Caenorhabditis elegans: one gene and its partner. The protein of the gene in region 1 interacts with the protein of each later gene in a biochemical or structural test. Each region holds a gene or a part of one and is shown in the gene's direction. Other genes may lie near its edges.

What was found. Proteins that work in one complex are often made in the same cells at the same time.
Region 2: of the proteins of air-2 (region 1) and gei-17, one has a biochemical effect on the other in vitro, tested with the Caenorhabditis elegans proteins (2 studies listed by BioGRID).

The regions. Positions count from the first base shown.
Region 1 is NC_003279.8:5,935,732-5,941,616, forward strand, and holds air-2 (Aurora/IPL1-related protein kinase 2), read left to right. Parts: upstream 1-1,745; 5' UTR 1,746-1,752; coding exon 1,753-1,820; intron 1,821-1,869; coding exon 1,870-1,978; intron 1,979-2,054; coding exon 2,055-2,422; intron 2,423-2,485; coding exon 2,486-2,759; intron 2,760-2,859; coding exon 2,860-2,958; 3' UTR 2,959-3,145; downstream 3,146-5,885. Other genes in the region: B0207.6 (GPN-loop GTPase 2), read right to left, coding at 1-146, 474-672, 830-937, 1,055-1,213. UniProt on the Caenorhabditis elegans protein: Serine/threonine-protein kinase component of the chromosomal passenger complex (CPC), a complex that acts as a key regulator of chromosome segregation and cytokinesis.
Region 2 is NC_003279.8:9,100,187-9,110,355, reverse strand, and holds gei-17 (E3 SUMO-protein ligase gei-17), read left to right. Parts: upstream 1-2,773; 5' UTR 2,774-2,816; coding exon 2,817-2,888; intron 2,889-3,013; coding exon 3,014-3,049; intron 3,050-3,131; coding exon 3,132-3,245; intron 3,246-3,324; coding exon 3,325-3,354; exon of another isoform or gene 3,355-3,368; intron 3,369-3,658; exon of another isoform or gene 3,659-3,756; intron 3,757-4,036; exon of another isoform or gene 4,037-4,249; intron 4,250-4,295; coding exon 4,296-4,661; intron 4,662-5,331; coding exon 5,332-5,457; intron 5,458-5,513; coding exon 5,514-5,608; intron 5,609-5,653; coding exon 5,654-5,750; intron 5,751-5,834; coding exon 5,835-6,307; intron 6,308-7,043; coding exon 7,044-7,357; intron 7,358-7,458; coding exon 7,459-7,715; intron 7,716-7,953; coding exon 7,954-8,091; intron 8,092-8,352; coding exon 8,353-8,518; intron 8,519-8,683; coding exon of another isoform or gene 8,684-8,826; exon of another isoform or gene 8,827-9,033; intron 9,034-9,122; coding exon 9,123-9,181; 3' UTR 9,182-9,510; downstream 9,511-10,169. Other genes in the region: nduf-7 (putative NADH dehydrogenase [ubiquinone] iron-sulfur protein 7, mitochondrial), read left to right, coding at 246-445, 734-949, 1,841-1,918. UniProt on the Caenorhabditis elegans protein: Functions as an E3-type smo-1 ligase. Mediates smo-1 conjugation to air-2 in vitro and is required for proper chromosome alignment.

The DNA.
Region 1 (5,885 bases):
TCCGGGAACTTCATTCAAAAGATCCAAAAGTCGATTGACATCAGGTAAATGGGAGAAAAACTCGAGATCATAGGTCCCGTCTTCAGAGAAAAGATCTGCTTTTGACAGACAGTTTACTTGTGGCATCTCCATTGTTACCATTGTCGCTGAAATTGAAGCTTTTTAATGAATATAATTTTAATTTGTTCCTTTCAGCCACACAAAATTTAAAGTGGTTCCGAATTTCAATTTTTTCCATCTAAAATCAAATAAATAACAAAAATAGGTTTCAGATTAAATGAAAGTTTTATGTGCCAGAAAGATATTGCATTTCTTAGCCAGAAATACATAAAGGCCCATGGAGTTTCAAAATTGTACAGAACAAAAATAAATTTTCATTTTTTGGAGGAAATCAGCTGAATTATATTTGGAAATTTCGGGTCGAGAGACAAGAAAAGTATTTCAATTTTTTTTTAATCTTAATGAACTCTTACCTAATGTGGATAATGCAACAGAAATGAATTTCGATGGGTCACTGCAGTAAAGTGAATCGGCAAGATGTAAGGCACATAGTCTAACACCGGATTTTTCCAAAAAGCGGATAACTTTCCATAGTTCGCCTTCGCTTTTGTATAGTTCCAACTGTCCGGGACAATCAATTATCAGATATTTCTTGTGATTCGCTTCGATTTTCTGAAAAAAGATTTAATTGAATATTAAAACTACAAAGAGGTTAAAAATGATTTCCGATTTTCTCGATTCAAATTTAGAGAATTCCAGATTTTAGCTCAATTGTTGTGAAAACAATTTTTAGCTTTTGAGAATTAACTTTTTCTGCCAAAAAAATTACCTGGAGGAGCCAATTACAATTAGCTCCAAGTGTTTCAATACAGTATTTGAGAGCTCCATTTGGTCCAAGTCCAAGTCGATCCATTACATCATTCACAGTGATCATTTCCTAAACTTTAGTATTTTAAATGAAAAATATGACCTTAAGTATTAAAATAACATTGATAGATGATCTGTACCACGTTTCATAATTATTGTCCTATATTCATTGGAATAAAATACTTACAGTGATATTTACATCAGGTGCGTATGCCATTGTGTCATTAGCAGGATCAAGATTGATAGTGAGAAATGGTCGTTTGGTTTGTGAGAAAATGTCCGTTAATCCTGCACAAAATGTAGATTTTCCAGCTCCAGGAGCTCCAATTACAAGAACTCCGTACATAGTCCAATGAGTACTGAAATTTTCTAGTTGAATCTTAATTTTCTACGGATTGTTTTGATAGGAAAACATTTAAGAAGAACAAAAATATATAAATACAATTTAATTTAATTTAAAACAAACAAAAAAGCAGGATAAACGGGCCTGGCACAGGGCCAAGTACGCATTTACACCGTACATGACGACATATTGCGGACCATTGCATTTTGCCGCGTTAATTTTTTATTTAAACGGCTTGCATTTCTCCTTACTATCCAGCTGACAATTTTTAGTTTCTTTAGAATTATTTGCAATCAAAACTCGTTTTTTGTAAACATATTTACTCAGGTAATGTGTTGATTTCTCACTTTTTTTTGAAATCAAAGCAGAATTAGTCCTATTTTTATTCTACATAAATATCTAAATGTATTCAATTAAAAATTGGGCCATTGAACTTCTAATTAATTCAATTTATAAATTTATCGTGATGTTTTCTTTTAGTTAATTTGTCCTTAATCGTGCCGTCTATTTTATTTCTTCATAAAAAACTTTTCAGTTCCGACATGGAGAATAAGCCACCTGTAATCAACCTTCCAGAGAAGGAAACTGTGAATACTCCACAGAAGGGAGGGTAAGAAATCAAGGTTTTAAAAGTTTATAAATTATTCTTGATTTTACAGAAAATTTACTATTAACGATTTCGAGATCGGAAGACCACTGGGAAAAGGAAAATTCGGCAGTGTTTACCTGGCTCGCACAAAAACTGGACATTTCCATGTAGCGATCAAGGTAACATATTGATTTATTTTGTATTTATTTGAATTATCATTTTTCTGACATCCGTTTTACCCATACATATTTTCAGGTTCTATTCAAATCGCAACTCATCTCAGGAGGCGTCGAGCATCAATTGGAGCGTGAAATTGAGATTCAATCTCATTTGAATCACCCGAATATTATCAAGCTCTACACATATTTTTGGGATGCGAAGAAGATCTATCTCGTTTTGGAATATGCCCCCGGAGGCGAAATGTACAAGCAATTGACAGTGAGCAAGAGATTCTCAGAGCCAACAGCTGCAAAATATATGTATGAGATCGCAGATGCTTTGTCATATTGCCACAGGAAAAATGTGATTCATCGCGACATTAAACCGGAGAATTTGCTTATCGGATCACAAGGAGAATTGAAAATTGGAGATTTTGGATGGAGTGTTCATGCTCCTTCGAATAAGTGAGTTTATCCTCAAATTTAGGAAATCTAGATGTTTCCAAAAATTCACTGTCATGTTTTCAGGCGCCAAACAATGTGCGGAACAATGGACTATCTCCCTCCTGAAATGGTGAATGGAGCCGATCACAGTGACGCAGTTGACTTATGGGCAATCGGCGTTCTCTGCTATGAGTTTCTCGTTGGAAAACCCCCATTCGAGCACGAAGATCAGTCCAAGACATATGCGGCAATCAAAGCGGCACGGTTTACTTACCCTGATTCTGTGAAGAAGGGTGCACGAGATTTGATTGGAAGATTGCTTGTCGTTGATCCCAAGGCTCGCTGTACGCTTGAACAGGTTTGTTATTGATTTCAGCTTAGTGGCCAACATATTATCAGCACACAGAAGTACACTTTTGTAGTGTTCTTAATTATCATAATTCATTAAATTATTACAGGTGAAGGAACACTACTGGATCCAGGGAATGATGGAGGCAAAAATTAGAGCTGAGAAGCAGCAAAAGATTGAAAAAGAAGCAAGTCTTCGGAATCACTGATCAACTACTGATTTTCCCGTCCTTCTTTCAATCATCTCGTCTGTCTGTCAAATAAAGGATCTCATCACATTTACTAGAAATTTTAAAAAGTGAAATAACTTGTCAACCAATTTTTCATGTAGTTTTTGTTTCGCGAACTCTATTATTCCCAATCGTCTAACCCCATTCATTCAACATAAATTTATTTTCTTTTCTCGTTCTCCATCTTTCTCAATATATCTACAACAACTCAATTAGTACCTCCCGAGATTTTCTCCTTTTTCAGATGTCGCGTAGACTCGCACTCGGAGCAGCTGCTTCTTTTCGTTGAGGTTCATTTGCATTTTTAGATTTTTGAGAAAAAAAAAAAAATAAAATTTAAAAGCGACAAGAAAATTTCGATTTTCTTTAGGATTATTTTATCACACCGTGCGACTTTATAGTCCCAAAAGGAAAAATAACAACTAAGCTTAGTACTGAGTACACTTGAAATTTCAAAACATGAGGTTTTTGAAATTCACGTGCTCCAACAATTTCAAGCACTTCTTGTGCCCTTTTTAAGTCCTCGAAAACTTATAATTTTTTCAGTAAGTGGTGCGGGGACATTTTCAAAAAGTTGTTTTTCTCAAACAAAGCATATTTCACAAGATGTCATTCTGGACAACAAAAAATTAAATTAAATTTTTAAATTACAGGGAACTTTTACCGATTAAGCGCGGGCGGTGTAATTATAGGTTTCGATGATGTGGTACTTTGGCTATAATTTAGTTATACAACTAGAATTTTCTAATTTTTTTATTTTCTTTCGAGATTTCTGAGAACACATTTTTATTTGAGAACTCATGCTAATTGCTGAACCGTTTTCTCCGATTTCTTCAAAAATCTCACATTTTTTGTCTGATTAAGAAAATTAAAGTTTCATTTTTCACTTGTGAATAACGCATCTTTTGAAATCAGAATGCAATCGCGCTCCAACGCCAAATAGAAAGACTCCGCCCCGATAATTTGGGTCTCGTTAGGTATTTGCGGAAAATACGTAAATGTATTATTTTTCCAAAATTTTCATTCAGTTTCGTTGATTTCACTCGTTTTCAATCATTTTTTCGTGAAATTTTGTTGTTCATTTTATTATAGCAAAATATAGCCAAAAATAGCCAAAAATTCGAAAATTCTATTAAACTAGGGTAATCGACGAAAATAGCCAAAAGTATGACTGGCGGAGCACTCTGATTCCAATGTTTGTGAACCTTATGATTTTTCAATTAATGAACCTGAAATTTCGACGTACTTAGCTAACTGAATAATCAATTAAAAATAGTCCAAGTAGTGACGTCTCACTTTTTTTCGAATGCGGATATTGAAAAATCAGCTGCTGCCGAATCGACAATCATCGATCTCCTAACACTCTTCTTACCTGAAACTTCTTGAGTCACGGTTATTTTCAACAAAAAATGATTTTTTTATGTGTTGGTTTCTGCGTTTATTCGTATTTGGAACTATGTAGAAGTCAAGTACGAACATGCAAAAACACGATACATAACCAAGATATGGGCGGAGTCTAATACATGCATCACACAATTGTTAGAAAAACAATTTTGATAATAAGTATTTTCTTAAAATATGCTCCTCCCATATCTTGCCTTTTTTTTTGGTGTTTCATTTTCTGAATTTTTTTGTACTTTTCTTTTTTCTCATTATACAAGATGTACGAAATAATAACTATCTTCGAGTAAATGATTATTTGAACTTTTAATTTTTATTCCTCTCTTCGTCTTCTTCTTCTTTTCTTCCTTCCGCTCCAAAGAATACTCACACCACATATCAGCATATTTTGTCGTTTTCCTTGTCTAGTTAAGACATTCATCTCGCTTTCATATTTCTCCGCTTCTTTTCATTTAACAGGTGCAATATTTTTTTTTTTCTATTAACAATAAGATTTTTTTTTCAATTTTTATTATTTCAACAAATAGGCATGTACCAACTTTGGCTGAATTGAAACTTTTAAAAGTTATTTTTCATTAAAAACTTTTTTTTAAAAAATCAATTTTTTACTTTGTTTGCCTATTCTGAACTGCCGAGAATTTTTTTATTTCCGAATAATAATTGGATTACGGTTACAAAACAGAGTTTTTATGACACGCCCGCGAAAAAAATCGAAGGTGAGTTTTCTTTCCTTGGTGTTTTTTTTTACTTTTTATATTTGCTTATTTCAAAGTCTGTAGAAATAATCCAAAGCGAAATTTATTGAAGACCATGATTTCTAGAAAAACACAATAATACTTTTTGTAGGGCAGATTTTTTGTTTTGAAATTGATTTCTACGCTGATCCATATTTGAGTAGAGGTCTATCAAAAACATTTATCACTTTAGATATCTCACTTTTCTCATAAAACTTTTTCTAAAAAATTACAATTCAATTGAAAATCAAATCACAAAAACTCAGAGTTTGGATTTTTGGTTCATACAAGTTGCAATTATTATATACATTTCCTATAAATTAACTTGTAGCCTTATCCATACTATAAACAATGTTTGTTTCTTTAAACACTTCACACTAACTTTTCTGATCGTTCTATAAATCTCGCAATTTCTTTCCAATTTTTCTTTCACATCTTTCTCTCATTTTTCAGAATATTTCTGTTTCCAATCCCAAAAACACAACACCCCTCTATGTCTCCATTTGGCGAGAACATAATTGAGTGACGCAAAGAAATTGGAAAATTGCCAATTGGATGTAGAGAAAACGAGAATGAGATACAGAATGGTGGCTTGAAAATAGGTGGAATTACTCACGGAGAGTAACAGAGTTGTGTTTTATGCACTTTCAGAAAATAAAAATGATACTGGTCTTCAAATTTTTTAAGTAAATTTTCGAATTTCTGCTGCATATTCCCCATTAAAAGTTGCATGATTTTGGGAGTATTTTTTGGGAGTATTTCGAAGCTGTA
Region 2 (10,169 bases), 3.2 Mb from region 1:
GATTCATTCATAACACCAAGATTGTCTCTTGATCAAGAAAAAAATTTTGAATTACCATTGTTGATTGGGAAAAAGTTTAATTTTTATTGTGTATTTCATAGTACACCAAGAAAAAATATTTTTTAAAAATGCGGGAAAACTAAAATTAATTAAATTTTTAGGAATCCCTCTTTCATCGGATCAAAATTCTTCTAAGCTCAGAATGTCTTTTATTTTATTTAATTGAAATCATTTTGTAATTTCAGGAACTCCATTCCTGAATCCATCGTCTAAAGCCGAGTACGCGTTGGCTCGTCTTGATGATGTCCTGAATTTGGCTCAAAGAGGTTCAATTTGGCCACTGACGTTCGGTCTCGCATGTTGTGCTGTCGAAATGATGCACTTCGCTGCGCCAAGATATGATATGGATCGGTACGGAGTCGTTTTCAGAGCCTCTCCCAGACAGGTTAGCTATACTGATCATTTTGAAATAAAAATTGTGTAAAATTAAATTTTTGAGTTGAAATTTTCCCATCAACAACAAAATGTAGTCTTAAAATTCATATTTTCCAAGTTCTAGAATTAATTTGGCAATTATTTCTCAAAACTCGCACCCCTAAATATCAACTCCATAGCATCATTCTCTGGTCAACAAGAAAAAAAATGATATCGTTGTCATGACAAAATTTAGTTTTCAGTCTCTCAGTGTATGCGTTTTCAAAATTTATTCTATCTATTTATCAAAATATTTCAGGCCGATTTGATTTTCGTTGCCGGTACAGTAACCAACAAAATGGCACCTGCACTTCGCCGCATATATGATCAAATGCCAGAAGCAAAATGGGTTATTTCAATGGGATCATGTGCAAACGGAGGAGGATATTATCATTACGCATATTCTGTACTTCGTGGATGTGATCGTGTGATTCCAGTGGACATTTATGTACCAGGATGCCCACCAACTGCTGAGGTATGTGTCGAATTTTTATGATCGCTTTTAAGTTTGCCTCATTTTCAAAAATACCTTGAGTTTTGAATCTTTTTTGGAGAGTCTAGAGTTTGTTTAGTGGCTGGCTTGATGTCAGTATTAGATCTCACGTTATCGTATCAGCACACCACAGCTAATTCATTTTCTCTCATTATCCATATTTATTTGGTCCACCTGTTACACAAAAAACGCACTCAAAATCTGACTGCTCAATTAAGGATAATGAGTGTCCAGATCTCGTGCAGGCTCATTTTCCATTAATTGAGTAACAATTTGTTTCAGTTAATGTCTGAAAATATTCCAAGAAAAGCGTGTTGCTATGTTCAAAAATGAATTTTAATAATTCTATGACGTCATAATATGTACCTCACTATAATCTCGACACCCCATCATTATCAAAACTGTTTTTTTCGGGTTTTTCCGAAAAAGATTTTTGAAAAAAATTTCCCAATTTAAGAATGGTGGGCTAAGGACGGCATGATGTAATCGCGCTCCACGACCGATTGTAAATATTTCGAAAATACGTGGGTGCATGTGTACTCAATTATTGATCGAATTGGCGCGAAAGTCTTGTGTTGTCTACGCTCTCTTGCATACCATTGAGTCTTTATTTCTCTATTTCTGCTTAGTTTCTCAAGCATTCACTAATGAATATTTTGCCGTATCTAATGCAACAACAACTTGGTGTTTTGTTTAAATCTTTAGCTCTTCGAAATACTTTATCACATTCTGACTGTATCAGCGAATTTCTAATACATTTTAAATTAGTGAAATTATCTGAATAGCTTTAAAAATATTCCTAGCCTGCAGTCTTTTCTGAAAATATGTTTCGTCTAATAAAGAAAATAATTTTAATATAAAAAATTATTCCAGGCTCTTCTATACGGAGTTCTCCAACTTCAAAAGAAGATCAAGCGTAAGCGAGAAGCTCAACTTTGGTACAGACGCTAAACAGAACACGAGGCGAAAAGAAAGTACGAGAAAGTTGGAGAACTGTGAAAAAATTCGCAGAAAAATGGTCATTTTGTACGAGTAAGCCCCACTTCATTCATTTTTTGTGTTTCTCCACCTTTTCTCCATTTTCTTTTTTCTAGATCTGATATCGATAGTTTCGTTCGTTTTTTTCTGCGGTTTACTTTTTTTTTCGAATAGTGTCTATTTTTACCTCATGTTTTTTTTGGTTGAAAAAAAGTCGATAACATTTTTTTAAAGTTCTATTTTTTTCTCTCATTTTCTTTGGAACGGTTAACAACGCCGACCCTTTGTGGTTCTCTTTTTATTTATTTATTCATATTTTCACAAAGTCTGTGAATTTTTATATAGTGATTTGAAAGGAGATCACGACGCACTTTATAGCGCCGCCAAGTTTTTTTTTTTGGATTTGGTTTTTGGATTGAAAATAATACAAAAAAAGTCTGTGTGGATTGAAAATTGTATTGCGCAAATTCAAAAACACAAATTTTCTGGCGCCTCTTCTGAAAATTGCTGATCCTTTGTCACGGGCACAAACCTATCGTACACATTGATCTCATTGATTTCCTGAATGAGTTAACGTGAGTACGTTGAAATATTTTTTGCAGGATTTTGCAAAACTGATTCATCAGGTGTGCCCGTGTTTTTTGCGCGATTTTGGTCCATTAACTTCCAAAATTGGGAAATCCACACGGAACCGCGCTTTTCGAAACGCTTTTTAGGGAATAGAAAAGATCACATTTTTCTACTTTTTGTTTGTGATATTTTCACTACTGGACCATTCAAATTCGCCTTAATATCCCTTTTCCGAATCTGCAGTTTTATATTTTTCCGTCGTTTCGAGACACAGCGGAGGATCGGAGGTATTGAAATCAATATGTTACCGAATAATCAATGGCAAATACCTATAAACAATGGATTAACACATCAGGAAAATATGGCAGCACACGTGAGTTATTGGAAAATTATTGACATTTATTAAATAGTTTAAAATTCTTGTATTTTACCCAAGGATTTTTCTGTTCCAATCTGTTATTTTTCAAAAAGTAAAACTGATGGATTCCAAATTTTCAGGCAGCCGTCATGAAATTGAGAGTACACGATCTTCAGGTTAGATACCGTTTTTAATCAATCTTTATTGTTCAATACCTCAACGAGAAGGCGATGTGAATCAAGAATTTATGAATTTCAGTCGATTATCTCGCAATTGTCACTTCGAAAGCCACGTCCACAAAAATCGGAGCATCAGAAGGTCGTCGTTGAATCCTTGCGTGATCCTCATCATGCTCGGCAAATTTATCAAATGGTCATTTGTTTTTCTCGTTATTTTATTTATGTTTTTTTTTAAATGATGTTTTACAGCATTAATTTTCTCGAGTTTACAGGCTTCCAATTTCCCGAACGGAAATTATGAGGTAAGTATGAAAAAGTTAAATACTTTCAGTTAAAAAAAAACTATGTCAACTTTGATTAAATAGATGTGTGAGGTACTTTGGGTAACGTTTACCAGTGTTCTACCTCGGAGGAAATTATTCATTCACCTAGTATTGTCTCTTTACTCACACAATAAGTCTCGCATTTATCTCCACTAGCATCCTCATACCCACCATATATGTAGCCCTTTGTTTCTCTAAGTTTCCTCAAATATTTCATCCATTCTGCACTTGCTTCCTCGCAGCTCCGGCAACGGGACTTTCGCCCGTAATAAGGTGTTAAAAACCTCAAAAGCAGTGGATCTTCGAAAATTTCTTAGTTGTACTTTGCCCTGACCTTCTTTCCATGTTTCATACGTGTAGCTTGGCGCGTAGTTTTTCATTACAATTTTTATTTTACTAGATTGATTCTTTTGAATACTGTCACACTTTTTTGAAAATCAAATTCAAATTTTCACTCCTAAAGAGGTATTTGAGTTTTTTAATAATTGTTTCACTTTGAAAAATCGATATGGAAGCGAATTGGCACGATGTCGCTCGTGAGAAACTGGGAATCGTTTTTTTTTTTGTTGTTATTTCACAACAGTTGATTCGAATGCGCGTAACTATTTAAATCAATCGAATTTTTAGTTGGCTTATTATTGAAATTTTACTAAATTTTAAGAAAGTCCTGTTATCAAAACTCCAAAAAAACGGCTAGGTTTATCAATATATATCATTTCTTCGCAAGCACCTCTCCTGATGACATGTGCGCTCTATTGAGAAACAAACGTTCAAAAAATCTCTTCCGCTTTGTTTTTTATTCCCAAATGTATTTTTGCAAATGTTCTAATTGTCTAAAATATTCCACATATTTAAAGTTAGAGCCTAAAAAATTGTTTGTAAATCGTTTCTGTTTTAATAACTAAATTAAAAAATGTCAGATGCAGAAGCGACCTGCAACAACATCCCAAGTTCGGTCTCATCCATATGTGCTGCCATCTCGATCTGGAGCTAGTAATCACTTGGTCAATCATCATTATCAGCAGCAACAACAACAACAACCACAGCCTCACAATCTACTTCATCAACAAATGATGGCGTCACATCATTCACATCTGCAACAGCAGCACCATCCGTCGACGGTGAGATGGCTAACTCCTGAACTGCTCGAAGAGCAACTGAGGGGCTCGATGAGATACGGCGCTCCCGCTGCTGCTGCTGCTACCAACGCGCCGCTCCATTCATCTTTTCCTAATCATGGACGTTCTTCTCAGCAAAGTTTGCAGAAGTCGGAAAAATCAAATAGGGTGAACATTTTCGCCGCATTTTTATTGCCTGAAATTCACGATAAGAATGAACGCAAGAATATCGAGGCGGAAAGCATGTGAAGATATACTTTCGGTTTATGACCGTAACGGAAAATTTACCTGAAAAAATTACACTGGTAGCTTCTTCTGGGCACATATATCATATTGGCCAGTCGCGGTTATTTGAAAATTCCTCAATCGTGATACATTATGCAAACAAATGTCCTACCGTTTATTGAATGCACTTTTTTGAATTGCGTGTAGCATTCAAAAAAAAGAAAGAAAAATTCGAAGCTCCAAGATTTGCACGCTGTTATCACGAAATTTTCTGCATGATTCCGAATGGCGTAAAAACTAGAACAAGTGTGGTTTTAAGATATTACAGTATGGCATTCTTAGGAGCATGTTCATGAAGAAAAGCTTAATATGATAATCCTCTCTAGGCATTTCTTCATATTGCCGTGCTCAATTTTCAAATAGTTTTATTTCCAATTAGTTCGTAGTAGCATGTAAAAGTGTTTTTTTACTACCAAAAAGCAGGCATCATTAGAAATTGCGCGGCATGTGTTATACAGTTCGCTCACACGAGTTCAATGTTATCACCTGAAAATTGCTTTCAGCGTCTCTTTCTTACATTCCCACATGTCTAACCCATGTATTTTTTTTTCAGCCGAAAAAAATGTATGCTGATAATTTTGAACCGCTTCCACTTCCATTCTACGATGTTATTTCTGTTTTGCTGAAGCCTGTCGAGCTGCATTCATCAGACAGTCCAACTTTGAAGCAAACAAAACAGGTTGGTCTCAATTTACTCGCTCTCCAAGCCGGTTACCTATTAATTACTAATTTCAGTTACAATTCCCGTTCTTATTGACTGCTGAGCACATCTCCAAGATTTCGTATCGAGCTGATGTTACACCTCTTCCACGATATGAATTGCAGTTGAGGTACGTTTTATTATCATTGAAATCGGTTTAAATCCTTGTTTTCAGGTTCTTCAATCTTACTGAACCAGTTCAGGGTCCTCAAAAAGACGACTTTCCACTCAATTGCTACGCACGTGTTGATGATTCTGTCGTTCAATTGCCGGTATGAGATTTGAAACGTTCACGAAATATATTTAATTTCAAAATATCAATTATTGTTAGGAGTTACTATTTCTTCAAATTTCAGAATGTAATCCCAACAAATAAGACAAATGCTGAGCCGAAACGACCATCTCGTCCAGTGAATATCACTTCAAACATGAATAGATACAAGAAAGAGCACACAGTTGCAGTCGAATGGTTAGCCGACAAACGTGTATGGGCAGCTGGAGTTTATTTCGTTCATCGTGTTAACTCGGATATTCTCTTTAAACGTCTTAATCAGAATGTATCAAGACATCGATCACTTGAGGTTACCAAGCAAGAAGTGATCAAGAAACTGTCTGGAGGTGAAGATGATATTGCTATGGATCGTCTTAATATCAGTCTTCTTGATCCACTGTGCAAGACAAGAATGACAACGCCTTCTAGATGCCAAGATTGTACCCATTTGCAATGTTTTGATCTCCTCTCATATTTGATGATGAACGAGAAGAAACCAACGTGGCAGTGCCCTGTTTGCTCGAGTAACTGCCCATATGATAGACTTATTGTTGATGAGTAAGTTTTCAATTCACACTGACTAACTTTGATTTTAAAAAAAAGCGAATTATCTCAATTCTATGTTTTCATTATTTTTCTATTAACTCTTAGATACCGTTCCCTCACTTCGAAATTTCCAATTCTTGTGAAGACACTATTATTTTTCCAAACACAATTGTTATCTATAGCGATGGACAACACCCTTAAAATAGCCATGATGAAACGGTGATTAGGAAATTCGGAAACGCGTCGTCTAAAATAGGCATGTATTTGCAAATATAGTCTACGATTATTATCAGTAGTTCGTATTGGTCTCCAACTCAAAATTCAGCTCATGACGTAAGAGAACATGAAACAAATGGCAAAGGTCAATCATCATAATTGAGCAAGAGTTTTAATGTGTAATTGAAAATTATTATTATTCAGAAATTCAAAATCCCTGTAAATAATTCTCAATCAATTAATAATCCAAATAGTGTTCTCACTCTTATGTTTACCATGATCCAGATTCATATTGTGAACAGTGCATCATGGACAAACAACAAATTCGATGGCTAACTTCATGCAGTTTTGTGTGAAGCTGTCTGTTCGCACTATTCGCTCGTTTTCTTAATTGGAAAATACTTTTTAGTCACGGAAATGCCTGAGAAACTGCTTAGACGTTACCCAATTCAACATTTTATTTAAGAAATATTCAAATATCAAAATAAAAAGCAATGTTCTGAGACTATGCAAATATTGTTTCATCTTTCAGTTATTTCCTCGATATGCTTGCAAAGGTGGATAAGAATACGACGGAAGTTGAACTTAAGGAAGATGGCTCGTACGATGTTATCAAGGAAGAAGCTTTTTGCATCTCAGATGATGACGACGATGACGTTGTACCTGCTACTGTTAACGGTACAGCGTCATGCTCTTCGACAAATGGCAATGGACTTGCAAATGAAGCAGCGAAGAAAAAACCAGCTGACGACGACATAATTACCTTGAGTGATGACGATGATGAGGAATTGAACAGAGGTATAATGAACTCTCTGAACGACAGCTTCTCTCCTGGCAGACACACAGGTTTGCTATTCAAATGGCGTGGTGTGAGACAAGCTGAGAATATTGCAGTTTCTAGCAATATCAATTAAAAGTATTCACTTGAAATTCAAATCTTATTTCAGCTTCCGCAGAATTGGCTGCTCAAAAGACACCACCACAGCAGAAAAAGAAGACGAAAGACGATGACATAGAGATTATTACTCTCGATGATACACCACCTCGTCCAGTAGCTGCAAGTGCAAATCTTCCAATGCGTCAGATGTCTCAACAGAATCAAATGCCAGTTGGCTCATCTCCATCTGGAATGGCCTCAACGCAAATGGGAATGAACGAGGGTGCAAGTAAAACTATCCGGGATGCGCTGAACAAAATAGGAGAAGTAAGTTCAGAAAAACACAAATCTTCAAAAGAGCCAATATTGTTAGTTATTTTCCATAGTTTTAAGAGGATTTGTTCTTAATTTGACTGAAATCAGTATTCTAGTTATAACTTATCCGTTTTTAACCAAAACTAATACAAAGATTGAATTATATATTTGATTATATTATTATATGATATTGTTAAACTAACATCTGCTTCTCCCTGTCCACACTCACTAAACTGTCTGTTTGTTGCAGCAGTCAGCAAATTCATCAACACAATCATCTCCGCTTGTTCAACTTCACCATACGACACATCCATTGAATTTTGCTCAATCATCTTATATGAATCCCTCTTCAGGATCTCAAACACCTACATCACAATACGGATATTCGGTATGCCAGCACGTGTTAATAGTCTACCACACGCACTAATACTCTAGTGATATTTTTTCATAACGACAGAACAAAAAAATCCTGTTTTAATCTCTTTTTTTTCTTTGTTCAAGCCCCTATTAATTGGATAAGATACTTAGATGATTGTCCACTGCACTAGAATTCTGTCGAATTGAAAAAAATGCACTAGTTTTACGTCTGGAATTATAAACTTAACAAATATTTTTCAAAATTTTTTAAAAATTGAACTCTCGTTTTCAGCCAATGATAAACCAGGCACCACACTTCCAAATGCAAAACGGGCTCATAGGGCGAAACAATCAAATGGTTCATATGCAGCAGCACCATCTTCAGCAGCAACAACAGCAGCAGCAGTCACCACAAATCATGTCTCCGTCTTTTTATGCTCAACAGCAAATGTCAAACGGTAATTTTTTGTACACCTTACAAAGTTTTTGTATATTATGTTTAAACATCAAAACAATCACTTCACGATCTTCAGTTAATAGCGAGTAAACTTGTTGTGTAATTGCAACCATCCTGCATGCAAATATATATTTATTTCCCTTACTTGGTTTGGCCTCACTTTCAGGTGACACCAATAACATCCAACCACCACGAATTCTTTCCATGGCTGAAATACAAGCAAATGCATCTCGACTTTTGGTAAATGGACACCTGATGATCGATCACTCAGGAGTCACTATGCGCAATCCACGTGGCTCACGGAATTAATGCATGAATTGTATTTTTTGTGCCGTCTAGTTCATTTGATTTATGTGCATCTTTTACCCATATCCACGATTTACAATTTTTAACAGAATCCTGCTTGTGCTTTAGTCTAGTAAGTTATATTTGTCTGCATTATACGGCTGATTCGATGAACTTTAACTAGAATTTTGTGACGGTAATGTTTTTGTTAAATGAAGCTGAGTATCCTGTATGCAATCTTTTAAATACAATTGAAAAACACAATCCACTAATTTTAGATTTTTATTTAAAAATTAGATTTTCAATATTCAAAGTTTCAGGTGGTGCATTTGCATATTATCCTCCACAATACCCGCAGCAGCAGTATCGTCAGAATTGATTGATTTCCAATCATACTGCTTAATCTCATTCTTTTGTTTTTTTTTTGAGTTAATTTGGCTTTAATTTAATGTTCGGAACTTCAACCGACCCAATCAAATATCTCACATTTCTCTCCGTGATTTTTGTTCAATATGTTTTAATTTTCAAATCGAGCCCCCAAATCGTGTTTCTAGTTTTCCATCCATTTCATCCGATGTTTTTCCACAGCCGTGAAAATGCACAAGTGGCCTAGAAATTGTAAGAATCTAGGCCATGCGGCTTTCCTGATACCATATTTTTTTCCATTTAAATGGATGCATTTGTTCTCCAATGAATCGATTTATTTATACATATTTGTTTTAAAGAACAAATAATCAATTATAATAATTAGACCGGGGTGGCGAAATGGGAACATTTTTGAGAGAAAAAACTACCGAATCAGTGAGAAGACTAGGGGGAAAAATACAGGGAGAAATCACAAGAGAGAGAGACAAAAATGAAAGAATGAAAAATAAAATAAATATAGGAAAAATAAAAACAAATAAAAAATGAGAGAAGAATACCCGCATTTTATGTTTTTTTCTTCAGAACATGAAAATATCAAAATTTTTTGGATTTTTGTCTTTATGCATACGGGCTCCATCGAAAATTAACAATTGAGCACGTTTGCAGAGATAAATTTAAAAAAAAAGAAGAGGAGCAATACGTGGAATGTCGGAGAGGAAGTTTTATGTCTTGAATCACAAAAATTTCGAAATAAAACAACGCTCTAATGCAAAATTACGGTAAACGGTCTCGACACGATCGGCATACCAAATGAGATGCACGGGGAAGACCTTTAAAGAGTACTGTAGTGTTGCACTCCACTTCGACAACAGGGCGAAACGTGAGGAAAATGGGGGAAATTCAAGTAAACGAGAAAAACATGTGGAGCGAGAGACTACAGTAATCCTTGAACACGGGCAGACCGCGTACCGTATTTCTGGGTCGGAAATTGCACAAAAATA